2 linked regions of the Nothobranchius furzeri genome follow. The protein of the gene in region 1 interacts with the protein of each later gene in a pairwise test. Links are inferred from orthologs where the notes say so. Each region holds a gene or a part of one and is shown in the gene's direction. Other genes may lie near its edges.

Region 1 (9,248 bases):
ATACCGATATCAATCCATATGATATCAGCACAAATCATACACACTTTTAACTATTTTTTAGTGTGGAATGTATGAAAGACTTGATCAAGTGGTATTACTCAATCACAGAACAAAAGCCAGCAATAGTAAGTATGGAAAAAAAAATTATTAACCATTGGTTGCATAAATGTAAACCTTAAACCTAATATATAACAAATGAATAAAAGAATAAATAATATATTAGAATACTCAGAAAAATATTTTTAATGAATAAATAAACAAGATATTTTTTAAAGTGCAAAATACTAGGGATGTTGCGATCACGTTTTTTTATTTATTTTTTGCTCCCGGTCCAATTCCAAGTCATTCGATTACGTGTATCTGTCGATACCGAGTCCTGATCCGATACTTGTCAGAAAAGCATTAAAATAAGACGAAAAAATTCCTATTTACATTTTTTAGGAAGTACACCGATCAAAAACTTGTTTATATTGTGAATATACTTAAAAGTAGCAGCGTTGTTTACTCCCTCAGTATGCAGCTGACGGAGCAGGCAGGGTTACTTTTCTCTGCATAACACCTGTAGCACTCCAGCAAAGTAGCTTGTTTGAAGGCAGTGAATCATGGAGCTGTGTCCAGCATGTTGAATGCTCAGTACGCACACATTACAAGTGTCTGTAGCTCTGCCTTCGCTGTCTGGTTTAAAATACCACCAAGCTGCAGATACTTTAGCTGTTCTGAGGAGACATGTTAGCTCAGTGTTAGCAGGCTTGCTAACAGCGGCGCTTGGTGTCTGAGTCCTTGCCTGCCGTAAATTGTGTGACTTTACTGTGTTGTTTTCGTACAAGAAACACACATTGATGGTGTAGAGGGACTTATTGAAATTAAAACTGTCATTTTTATTCAATTTGAAAATTTCTATCTCCAGATTCATTTTCAAGTCATGTTTGTTGTTTTAAAATGTTAAATCCAATTTATTTCTCCCGATTCCGATCCTTTCAAAAACACGTGATCTGGCCAGATTTCTGATCACATGATCGGATCGGAGCATCCCTACAAAATACTAATTCATGGTCAATTCCGTTATATTTTACAGTCAGCAAATGGTAGGAACTTGTGAGGGCAGGCACATATGAAACTGCTACAAGTCCAAAGTTTCAATTTCACACACGGAAAATCTTCATGCAGTGTTTTGTGATGCTGCTTCAAACAATGAATGAGGTTGGATGCATTAAACATTCCTGGTTCTTTTCCACCACGGGAAACTTGTGCATGGCAAATGTTGCAATGAGCCACCCTCCAGCCACAGACTTGAACAAAAAATACGACATTGCTCTTGTTCCTTGCTACTTTGCTAACACGCACTGTTCTGATCACGTGGGCTTTGCGCTGCTGGATATAATTGCTGGAATTAAATTAGAATCTGAACGAATTGCTAATATTGGACATTTTTGATGCCGTCTGATATAATCCAATGCGGTGTTTTTGGGCCGATATCCGTCCTATTTCTGATATCAATGTCAACTGTTCATACAAATAATCATCACTCAATTGGGTTGAGAGGCTTTTAGCCAATCAAATTAGGCTTCTCTGATCATGTGACGCCAACAAGGCATTGACTCATTCAACGATTGCTTTGGCTTGGGTCACCAGGAGGTCACCTCGTTTGTTGCTGATTTTTTGCTGTTGAATTCTTTGCCTGTGCATTTGAAGTAAAAACTTTGAATACATAAATTCACAGAATTAAAATTCAGACTGTATTTCTTCCATAGATATATGCATATTTTAAGAAATTAAGTGGCAGAGCATTTACAGGGAATGGGAACATAAATGGAAAACTGGACTAAGTCAGTTTAATTTCCTCCAACGTCCACAACCAGTTTTCACTAACCTACTGCCGCATCGGCTGTATAACTCCTATTAAAGCATGTGCTCTTCTTCCTCAGGCCGACACAACACATCCTCTGACCAAACATAGGAAGATCGCCTCCTCGTTCAGAGACTCCTCCCTTTTTGACATCTTCACTCTGTCCTGTAACCTCCTAAAGCAGGTTTGGAAGTTACATCATCACTTCTCCCTGACCATCCTGGTCTAACTTACATAAACCTGTACAAGCCTGGTGTATAGTAACGATATCAAAGAAAGAAAATGGTAAATGGATGCTGTACAAAAGTTTTAGGCAGCTGTGGGGAAAGGCTGTGAAGTTAAACTATAGGAGTTGACGTCACTTCTCCCGGCATGCAACAGTTCAAATCGAAACGGCGCCAAATTGGCAGGCAGAAGCCCGCAGCTGGACTATTTGTTGTTGTCAGAAAACTCAATCAGACAGGAAATATGGTAGATTCCTGTCGTGCCCCAGGATGCAGAACAAATGCGGACGACATAAGGAATGATTCATCTACAGGATTCCCCAAGATCCGGAGCGCCGGTTTCCTAAACTTATTTTGGCGTGGCTTTTTCTGTCTTATTACTCATAGCAACAAGTAAACATCACGTAAAACGTTGCCTCGTGAGTTCTGCGTGCTGCCGTTTACGTGTTTTATGATCACAGCAATTAGCCGGCTAAGCTGTATTTCATTTTAAAGCAATGGTTGATCAATTGTCAGATCACACATAAAAAGCACTTTGGATTGCTATTATCTGTCTCACCGAGACAGATCTCAGACAGATCCTGAGACGCTGCTGCCTGACATATTTATTTTATTCACGGAAATAAATCAAACTAGTGGTTTCTCTTGGCGTTCAGTTTATACATTCAAACAACACAGCACTCTATTTAAACTACTTACATGTAAATCTATGTTATTTGTCCATCCATTTTCATCCGCGTATCCAGAGTCGGGTTACGGGGGCAGTAGCGTCGAGAGGCCCAGACTTCCCTCTCCCCAGCCACTTGGGCCAGCTCCTCCGGGGGAATCCCAAGGGGTTCCCCGGCCAAGTCTGGTAAGCAGTCCGCTCCGACAGCTTCTGGCGTTTTAAAAAAGTATCCCAGGGGCACGGTAAGGGTCGGAGATGTTTAGTCTATTTTATTTCTGACTATATAAAACGATTTCTTCAGTTTTAAAGTGTGAAGTAAACTCCGACGAAGTAAAATCCAAGCCGATCCCGTTCAATTTGTTTACATTTGTTGCCTGCCAACATGGCGTCTACTCTCTGAGAGTCGCGTGACGTCCGGAGCTCTATAGAAGAAAGCAAAATGAGAAAAATATGTTCTACATGGTGAGCCTTTGTTTCATAAACAGTATCAGTTCTTAAAGGACAAACACATCAAGTCAGGGAAAAACAACCTTCTACTGAGGTGAGGCAATAGAGAACCAGTCAGCATGGGTGCTACATCAGCCAGGTCTCCTCCAGGTGCAGGTTTCAATGTGGAAGACAGACACATTGTTGTTCTTAGTTAGATAAAAAAAAAACACAAAAAAAACTGATGAACGAGACCATCCTCACTTCCCTTCAGACCTGGAGACGGCCCATTGCTGCCATCAGCTTAGACCTGACAGACACCTTTGAGACTTGCTACACCTACCTGCTGTCTGCAGAGATCTGATCAGAACCAAAAGGTCACCAGCATAGATCAAGGTCAAAAACACAGGAACTGGGGTGCCGAGGAACAGCATTGGGCTCTCTGGAGTTATCAGTCCTGATCATATTTAATACCTGATTAAAAACCAACAAGGAGGCGTCTGATTGGCCCTGAACGAATCCACAGTAGGACAACATCCCTAACAACTTCTTCAGCAGAAGGTAACACAAAATGTGCTGTTGGTGCAGTCCTAATCTCATCAGTGTTATCAGTGTTTGGGATAACATACAGAAACAGCAGGACCAGAGCAGGGGTCCACCCCTAAACAAAGACTCCAAACCCAGAAGAAGAATTTAGGAGTCAGAAAAGCTGCTACTGGGGTTTGGGCTCAAACCTAACAGGTCAGGCTCTGATCAGACCCCACATTAACAGTTTGTCTCTTTGTCTTCAGGCTTCAGGGAAGAATCTAAACTTGAACGATGAATCTCAGCACGGATTGCTGATGCAGCTCCTGAAACTCAGCTACAATTGCCTCAACTTCGACTTCATAGGAACTTCCACAGACGAGTCGTCAGACGACCTCTGCACCGTTCAAATTCCTACATCATGGAGATCAGGTAGCTGGTTGTTCTGGTGTGTGTAGCTGCCATCAGCCTCTGTCTGGTCTTTGTCTGGTTTTTCTGTGTTTTAAACAACTTGTCAGCTGGTTCACCAACACTTATGGATCTGCAGTTTTCTGCTGTCAGGTTTACAATTTTAATCACGAGGGGCAACAAACGGGTGTCTTCTGCCTCTGGCTGGCGGGGCTTCTTACCTGCTCCGTGTTGCGCCCTCACTGATGCTCAGAGGAGATCAGACTTTTTCAGTCATTGCCCAGATAGTTAAACATCAGACGGGCATCTTCACTTCCTGTTTTGAAATCTCTTTAAACACAGAGGTTCTCTTATTGTTTTTGTTTTCTGTGTTTTATACATTTTTATAATTCTACAGAACACTGGTTCAATGTGTTGTTTTAAATGTGCTTTACAATCGGATTGGATTGGAAAAATCCCAAACAGAGATGAACTCTGGGTTTAGATGTTGAAACAAACGTTCCTAGCAGACACTTTCTGATGGACAACTGTTTCCTGCTGAGCAGAACTTTGTACAGAACAGAAATGTGATATCGAAGGCTTTGTTTATAAATAATGTATGTGAACGGAAAACAAGGATGGGCTTTTTTCTGCACAAAGCCCTTTTAGAAAGGACTAAAGTGCAGTGAGGTATCCACCTCTGAGCATTCATACGTGTTCTTGCACTGAAAAGCTTACACCTGTAAACCTCCACATCACCTTTTATCTCCTCTGCAGCGTTCCTCGATTCCTCCACACTACAGCTGTTTTTCAATTTATACCATTCCCTCCCTCCGTCCCTGTCCCCGTTGGTAAGTAGCACCACTCAGACTTGTGAGACTTGTGTGGCGTTCCCAGAGCAAGTCTAAGCTGCTGGTGTACCTGTGCAGGTGTTGTCGTGTCTAGTTCAGATAGCCTCTGTTAGGAGGTCCCTCTTCAACAACGCAGAGCGTGCAAAGTTCCTCTCACATTTAGTGGATGGCGTTAAGAGGATATTAGCAAACCCACAGGTAAAACACTCACAAACTAAAAGCAATCCTGCAGTCCCGGTCGTGTGTTGTGTTGAGATAGGTGTGTGTTTGTGCGGCAGTGTTTGCCAGATCCAAACAACTACCACGAGTTCTGTCGTCTGCTGGCGAGGCTGAAGAGTAACTACCAGCTGGGGGAGCTGGTGAAGGTAGAGAACTACCCTGAAGTAATTCGCCTCATAGCCAATTTCACCGTCACCAGCCTGCAGGTGAGTCATCTTTACGCTAACCAACTCAGACTACTGGGTGGGCGTCACATAGTGACATATCCCGCTGTCTTCCAGCACTGGGAGTTCGCCCCAAACAGTGTTCACTACCTGCTGAGTCTGTGGCAGCGTCTGGCCGCGTCCGTGCCCTACGTCAAAGCCACCGAGCCTCACCTACTGGAGACATACACCCCAGAGGTGACCAAGGCCTACATCACGTCACGGCTGGAGTCGGTCCATGTTATTCTCAGGTAACACACACACACGACTACATGGTGACCTTTCATGTGATCGCTTAACAGATCACTATAAAGCTGTAATGAGCTGATGTTTCTAGATTTTTTTCTCTAAAACTAACAAACCTTAAAATACTTATCTACTGATCTAATCACATGGGTGGACATACATTAAGACAAATCTGTTAATCTTAATTACTTCAGTGCTTATGACACCTTTTTTTGGTTTATTTATTTTATTCATGATTCATCCTGGTCAAATCACTGCAAGCAAGCAGTATTTTTGTAGCCTGGCAAGCATACATAAGTACAGGCTACATGAATACACTTCATTGACAGCTCTCGGTGGTGGGGCGGGTTCTACCATTGTCTTTCAAACGATCGCCACATGCTACAGGACAATGAACAACGTGACGTACTCGACACAACAATTTTCAGTGAACGAGGCGGTTCGCTGTTGAAGAAGGCGAAAACACATCCTTTTTTTAAAAAAAAAATAACATAAATACATCAATCTGCTACTGATCCTAATTAAGCCCAAGGCCTAATAGTCCTAAATTGATGTAAAAGCCGTTTCTAATGAGCTGTTGCCATCTTGTTCCACTCTGTTGCATCATCCCACCCACCAGACGAATAGAGGTCCCTGATCGGCCCACAAAGCGGATAAAGTGCTGTGATTGGTTCACAATGAAGTGAACGAGTGAAGAAGTAAATGTGTAAAACAACAACTTTCATGAATGTTGAGAGTTTTGTAACTCCTTATTGCAAACCTGTAAATGCTTTTTGTCCTCACGGGCTCCTGTACGATGCGATGCAACAACTGGGCATCATTTAATTCATTTTCCACAACATTTCAGTGATATCTCCGGAGTTTATCAGTAAAAACACATCGTTTCTTTAACAATTCTAGCCAGTGTTAGTTGACTCTCATAAACAAACAAAAATTATTAAATACATTAAACTAAACATTTTTAAACAAACTGAAAAAAAGAAAAAAAATTTACTTAAAGTTAATATCAAGTGTCTCTAAAAAATAAAAACTAAGTTAAAGAGAATAAAATATTGTAGTGCAAGAAGTCGATGTCCACATATGTGAACACAGGGTGTTTAACTCATTCACTGCCATTGACGACTAAAGTCGTCATTTTAAATCCAACCGTTCACTGCCAATGTCGTCACAATGTCGTCATTTGCATTTTTTTACTGTTTGGGCATCGGAACGAGCCCCCGCACCAAGAGAACAAACATCTCAACGCTGAAGCCGATCTTCATCCGCGTGCGCCACACGTCACGTGATCAGGAAGCAGAAAATCCATGTGTTAGGAGATCGTTTTGGGCCGTTCCTGTAAAAGAAAGTGAGGCGCGAACCGGAAAAATATCTGCCGATCACAATTCAACAACGGATTATGAAAGAACGTATAACGATCGGAACGCGCTGATCCTTTCTGATGTAAGAGGTGAGTCTCCGCTTTGTTTTGGCGTCTACGTCATCCTAGCATGCAACGTTCTATGACTCTTAAAAAAACTGTAAAAATGGCGAGAAACACTGGCAGCGAAGGGTTTTACCGATCAGGAAACGGCTGGCAGTGAATGAGTTGATCATAAAGGAGCAAAATAAAACACCACTATAGTCTACCACACACACACTTGTCTTTCTGCCATGCCGCTCTGCACCGTCTCTTCAATAACCTCAGACACACAGGATATTTTCTGCATTGTGTGAATCGTCTCAGCCACTATGACATGAAACTATAAATGTTTGTTTCTTTTGTCAGTTAAAAATTCACACAAGTAACTAACAGCAGCATTGTTTCTCTGCATAGCTGCTGATCATCTAGTGAGTTGGGATTATTTGCTTCTTTAATCTGAGACAGATTAATAAAACCAGTAGGGGGGGGGAATGAATGAATCTGTTCTCTCTACAGAGACGGCTTAGAAGACCCTCTGGATGATGCTGGCCTCGTCCAGCAGCAGTTGGACCAGTTGTCCACCATTGGCAGGTGTGAATATGAGAAGACGTGTGCACTACTAGTGCAGCTATTTGATCAGGCAGCACAGACATACCAGGAGCTCCTGCAGTCCACTAACTCCAGCGCCGTGGACGTCACGGTACAAGAAGGTACGCTGAGCCCACGCTCACCCTGCAGCAGAGCAGTGGGCGTGTGTGTTAACACTGGGATCTGTGTGCAGGACGGTTGACGTGGTTGGTTTATATCATCGGGGCGGTGATTGGTGGACGGGTGTCTTTTGCTAGCACAGACGAGCAGGACGCCATGGATGGGGAGTTAGTCTGTCGGTAAGCATCGCAACATCCCAAGAGAATGTTCTTCAAATGGATTTTTTAACATTTTTTTGTAAAATCTCAGAAACAAGGGAAGTTTGTCAGAATGAGTCAAAAAACGAAGAAGCCAAAACAGCAGGGTCACTCATGTTTTATTGATGTTGACCTGATCAGAATCACTCAGTCGCTCATCTGCACTGACGGGGATTTTGTTTCTGTCAGGGTGCTGCAGCTGATGAACCTCACAGACTCGCGGCTCGCTCAGGCTGGAAACGAGAGGCTGGAGCTGGCCATGCTCAGCTTCTTTGAACAGTTCAGAAAGATCTACATCGGTGATCAGGTTCAAAAGTCATCAAAGGTGAGCTCTGCAGAGGAGCACGCTGCCTGGCTGCCCCTGAGCTTCATACCAATCCACTTTATTCTTTTGTTTAAGGCTCTTACTGCAAAAGTCAACCAGTCAGATAAGTGGAGGAAACTAGAAACAGTTTGGAGTTAGACTCAGTTTAGTAACCTGTTGTGAGACACACATCATAAAGCTACATATTAATAAAAACTAGGGATGTGTATTGGTGAAATTTTGGCGATATGATATGTATCACGACATATTGCGATACATTCAGTCAGATGTTGTTAGCGATTTTTTTAGACTGAATTTATTTTGGGAAAATTCAATAAACAGTCCAAACTGATACATACCATGTTTAACATGAGGTATGTGAACCATAATAGAGGGATTTGCATTTCAGTGGTGGAAACAAAACCCGTTGCACACTGCTGCCAACTATCAGTCAGCGTTTGAATTGCACCAAAACCAAAGAAAATACACAAATGTTTGCATGTAAATTCTTCCAAAAATCTGATACACAGCTTTTGAATATCGATATATTATCGCTGGAAAAAAATCACGATATATTGCCATATCGATATTTTCTTACATCCCTATTAAAAAAAACTAATAATTTAGTAGTTTTCTTGGATGTTAAGGTGACATAACTAGTAAAATCAAATGGATAAAAAGTTGCCACCTAAGAAAACCACCAAATTATTTTAACGTCTGTCTATCAAAGCACATTAGGGAGATGTAATGAGTGTGTAGTAGATCCAGCATGTGATCAGTCCTCTGCTGCTATGAGTGCGGTCTACTTCATCCATGTCTATGTGTTCCAGCTTTATCGACGACTATCAGAGGTTCTGGGGCTGAACGATGAAACCATGGTACTCAGTGTCTTTATTGGGAAAATGTAAGTGTGTGTGTGTGCGTGTGTGTGTGTGTGTGCGTGCGTGCGTGCGTGTGTGTGTGTTGGAATCACAGAACTAAACAACTTTGTGTTTCAACGGTTCAAGTTAATGGAACATGGTTTAGTTAGACTTTTGAAACTAGGA
Region 2 (4,232 bases), on another chromosome or scaffold:
AAGGTGGCAACACTCCAATTGAGAAAAAAAAATCCAACTGCTTTCTATCAGTGTTTGGTTTTATGAATTATCTGTCTAAAACAAGTGGTTTCGAAATGTCCCAGTTTGTGACATCACAAACAGGGGAATTAGAATAGAACCACCTCTCACATGCAAGAGAGAGCTGTTGCTGGAGGGGCAGCACTCTACTCCAAGCCTCTCCCAGATATTGGAGTGCCTCAGCTTATAGCAGTCAGAGCAGGGGAGGGGTGGGTTTGGCCGGCTCCAGTTTATTTTTATGTGACAGAGCCATGAAAAGCTCATGCAGGAAGGTACTGAAACTGTCAAGATTAATACTGCTGAAATTGCATTGCGTGACACCGGATTTTGTGCTTCGTAGACATGTTTTGTAAGGATCATTTAACTATTATAATATAACTTTAATATAACTTGAAGTTATCCCCCCCACCAGAGTCTTACTCCACCCAAGCTTCCTGTTTGAAACATGTGCCAAAAGGAGGCGTTGCCTGGCTAACCAAGAGGATGGAGCTGCCACAGCCCTGCACCCACTCACACCCGCTCTTGGATTCTTGTGGGCCATTCCCATCTGTACCGGGTCGGCCCGGGCCGGGTAGCGTAGGTTGTTTACATATCTGGGTGGCCTGGTATTTTTCCGGGCCAACCAAGGCTCATTCTCAGCCCTCTTCTCGAGGGGGTCTGCTTCAGGCCGACCAGGGCCAACACACCCACTGCTGACAGCAAATTCACACCTTCCATTAGAGCAAGCCTCTGATTGGTGGGTAGAATCAGCCCACATGGGCTTAAGACAAGAATGTGTGGAATCAACCGGGCCAGGCTGGGGCCGACTGGGGCCGACTGGGGCTACCCGGCCCGGGCCGACCCGGTACAGATGGGAATGGCCCATTAGTCAGAAAAACATGTCACTAACGCGCGCGCGCGCGCACGCAGGCACGCGCGCGCGCACACACACACACACACACACACACACACACAATCACCCCCAACTGAGAATAAAATTATAAATGTAGTTCAAACATACTGTTTTTAAGATAGTACATACTTCAATTACTTTTTGGTGCATTTATTGTGTGATGCGCGACAGCAAATCTAGTGTGAATCAAACAGCTACAACTCTGAAACCTCTAGAAGCTGAGGCAGGTGCAGCAGCAGCACCGTTTGGAGCCATTGTGAGTTAAATGTTTTCATGAAATGTTACCCTTGAAAGAAGAAACAATTTTTATATAGTGGCTCATTTTTCACAGTAAAAATGTGATAAAAATAATAATTTTGATTAAAATGCGAAAGAAAAATCAAAAAGGAAAACGGGGGCCTAAACCTAATGTAGTCCCCTGGCCCTTTAAACAAACTGCTCACTCATCTGCTAATACGTCCACGTTTCGCCACGTTTGCGCGCATGCGCACTGCTCTCCTGTTTGTGTTCCGGGGTCCGTCATCCAACACAGTGCTAGATTTCCTTACTACTGTATTATTTTTCACTTATTCTACATTTTCTACGCGGCTTACGTAAATAGCTGTCAGCTTGTGTTGAAGCACAGGACGTCTGTGAGTATGAACTTCTTCAGAGGAGTGATTACAGGGCAGGCTACCGGGCCGCAACCAACAGGAGCGGAGACGGTGAGCTAGCATCTCAGCTACTAAGCTAGCTAAGGTCTTGGTCGAATTGAAAAGAAAGCACTCGTAGTTGAATTTTTTTTTCTCACATTTTATTCATTCTAGAGCCACTACATGTGTTAAGAACATGAACGCATTTTCACTTGTGTAAGCCTGTAGCCGTGCAGCTGTCATGGTGATATGAGGGTGAGGCTGTGTAAACTTTACTTTATGAATGAACATTTAAAGAAAACAAGCTCAAAGGATGGAGTCATCGGCAGCAACTGTTTACTTCTCAGCCACAATCCTTGTTTGGTAATTTTCTTTATCAGTAACGACAAGTTGACGAACAGTAATTAAACGTAGTGGAGGTGTTATACACCCACTGCTGTACCAAACTGGTATTTGCCACTTCTGTCAAGCCCTTTAGAGTGGAAAATGTCAGGCTTACCCCCACGATCTTGTTCATTACAGCTGTGACCCGTTTTAAGTTGTTTTATGAAAATGCGCACATCGTTCACATCTAGGGACAGTCTTACTTTCACTTTCTCCAGGGTCTTTTATCCCACTTGGAATGATCAGCAGTATTGAAGTCAAACCCATTTATCTATCAGTTTAGGTGACCACTGCTGTGCTATCATTTACATTCTTGCTTTATGTCTGCTCTACAGCGATGTATTGATTTTTTGCTGCAATATTCTCCAGTTTAACCTAGAAGAATTTCATTATTCAGCTCTGCAGATAAACCTTTAGTTTTAGTATCAAAAGTCAGAACTTTGTCACACATGTGCTCTTATTATTACTATGAAAACCTTTTATTCTTTCTTTTCCTATGCTATTATTTAACTGCAACATATATTTAAATACAATAACACACATAGAGGAGGAGATAAGGATGCAAATTACATGAGCAGAATGTTTTTTTTTTTCCTATTGACAGATCCAGAAGTTGTGTGACCGAGTAGCCTCTTCAACACTCCTGGAGGACCGCAGAGATGCTGTTCGGGCTCTTAAATCTCTCTCTAAGGTAAAGTTTGAGGATAAATGTACAGAAATGCTAAGTAGGTTGTTTATTAAGTTCACCACCTGTAATCTGTGTGGAGAGTCATGTGCTGCTGCTACCATCGGTTTGAAACTTTTAAAGATTAGTTTAATTTCACAGCCAAATTACTATATAACTGTTATAATGCTACTTTACACATCTCTTCATATATATTGTTTGAACCTGTCTTCGGTATGTATGTTCCGGGTATTTGGAGTAACTTGGTGCAAGGGGACAATTTATCTCTGCACACATTAGATTTTGTTTTCGTTATTTAGTTATTTCACTAGCCTGTGCTTCAAAACACTCTTGCAAACAGCTATTGAACAGATTTTATATTACCAACCCCTTTTACAAAATGCTGACAGCCACTAGTGAACCAGTTAACAGTGGATGAACACATTCATGATTGGGATCCATGAATGCCAGTTGTTAAAAGCTCACTTTTGTTGTTTCTCAGCTCTGTTTTTACTTCATAATTTTAATGAATGGAGTTTAATTATCAAAAGAAAAATTGTTTAATGTTAGAAGAGCACGGACATCATTTTAGTGTAAAAAAAAAGGGAATACCAGAGATCCTGATGCCAGTGCTTTATTGGTTATCAGTAAGGGACTTATTTGTCAGGATTGCTGAGAAGGGTTTTTCATCCATCTGAGTGAATCTGAACACCAGAGACAAACTTATCTCAGTGTAAAAATGTCAGATTTTAAAAATGTCATGATTACCTGTAGATAAATGCCGTTTTAAAAAAATACATTTTGCTGATAAAGGTGAACTAATCCTTGACCACCACCACGCCTGTTTTCACGTGTTGAACGGTTTTGTTTTTGGCTGTCCTTTCAGCCATGACTAATGAGTTTATCACGCTTGAATAAGGGATTTGCAAAGCACCAAAGAGTTCATAAAGCATTTACCTTTGCTTAAATTCTTTAGCTTCTCTTGAGTTTTTGGACTCTAGTTGCCAAGTGTTACATTATTTATGAGAGCTGTTGTGTTTTTGTAGAAATACCGCATGGAAGTCGGCACACAGGCAATGGATCACCTGATAAACATCCTGCAAACTGACAGGTATATTAGTGTGCTGTTTAATTTTGTTCCAGTTATGCCAATAAACCTTTCTTTAGTTTTTTTTTAAACTTTCAAGATGTAATGATTGCTGTATTTGAATGTTTTAAGTCTTTAAGAGTTTCACAGGTTTCAAAAAAATCCTTTTAAAGGAGACAAATTATGACTTTTTAAAATTATGCAATAGTTATTTTATCGATACAAAACATGCTCGTGAAGTTCTTTGCACAAAAATTCTCACACAAAGTAATCCCAGCAGTTTTTATCTGGACTGTTTCAGTACCTTCCAGAATGAGCCGTTTCAGGGCTCTGTCACTTTAAGAAAACAAGCTGGAACGGCCACGCCCACCCACCCCTCACCCAGGCTACTAATGACCCTTTGCACCCACATCACCTGATCACGTGGGTCTACCATATTGGTTGGCAAATGCAGTGAGCGACACGAGTGCTAAACAAAGTGGAAAAATAGAGCTTGAAATAATTTTTGCGATCTTTAGCATTCCTTCAACTAGT

What was found.
Region 2: the proteins of xpo7 (region 1) and uso1 interact in binary tests that used the Homo sapiens proteins (3 or more experiments, as listed by UniProt). The two-hybrid records come from large-scale screens. The link is inferred for Nothobranchius furzeri from reciprocal best matches to the Homo sapiens genes XPO7 and USO1.

Annotation. Positions count from the first base shown.
Region 1 is NC_091746.1:34,508,725-34,517,972, reverse strand, and holds part of xpo7 (exportin-7), read left to right. Parts: intron 1-1,925; coding exon 1,926-2,030; intron 2,031-3,954; coding exon 3,955-4,120; intron 4,121-4,852; coding exon 4,853-4,926; intron 4,927-5,004; coding exon 5,005-5,124; intron 5,125-5,204; coding exon 5,205-5,351; intron 5,352-5,426; coding exon 5,427-5,599; intron 5,600-7,509; coding exon 7,510-7,703; intron 7,704-7,774; coding exon 7,775-7,880; intron 7,881-8,087; coding exon 8,088-8,223; intron 8,224-9,032; coding exon 9,033-9,106; intron 9,107-9,248.
Region 2 is NC_091744.1:13,143,942-13,148,173, forward strand, and holds the start of uso1 (general vesicular transport factor p115), read left to right. Parts: upstream 1-1,432; 5' UTR 1,433-1,569; coding exon 1,570-1,635; intron 1,636-2,551; coding exon 2,552-2,638; intron 2,639-3,657; coding exon 3,658-3,722; intron 3,723-4,232. UniProt on the Homo sapiens protein: General vesicular transport factor required for intercisternal transport in the Golgi stack; it is required for transcytotic fusion and/or subsequent binding of the vesicles to the target membrane.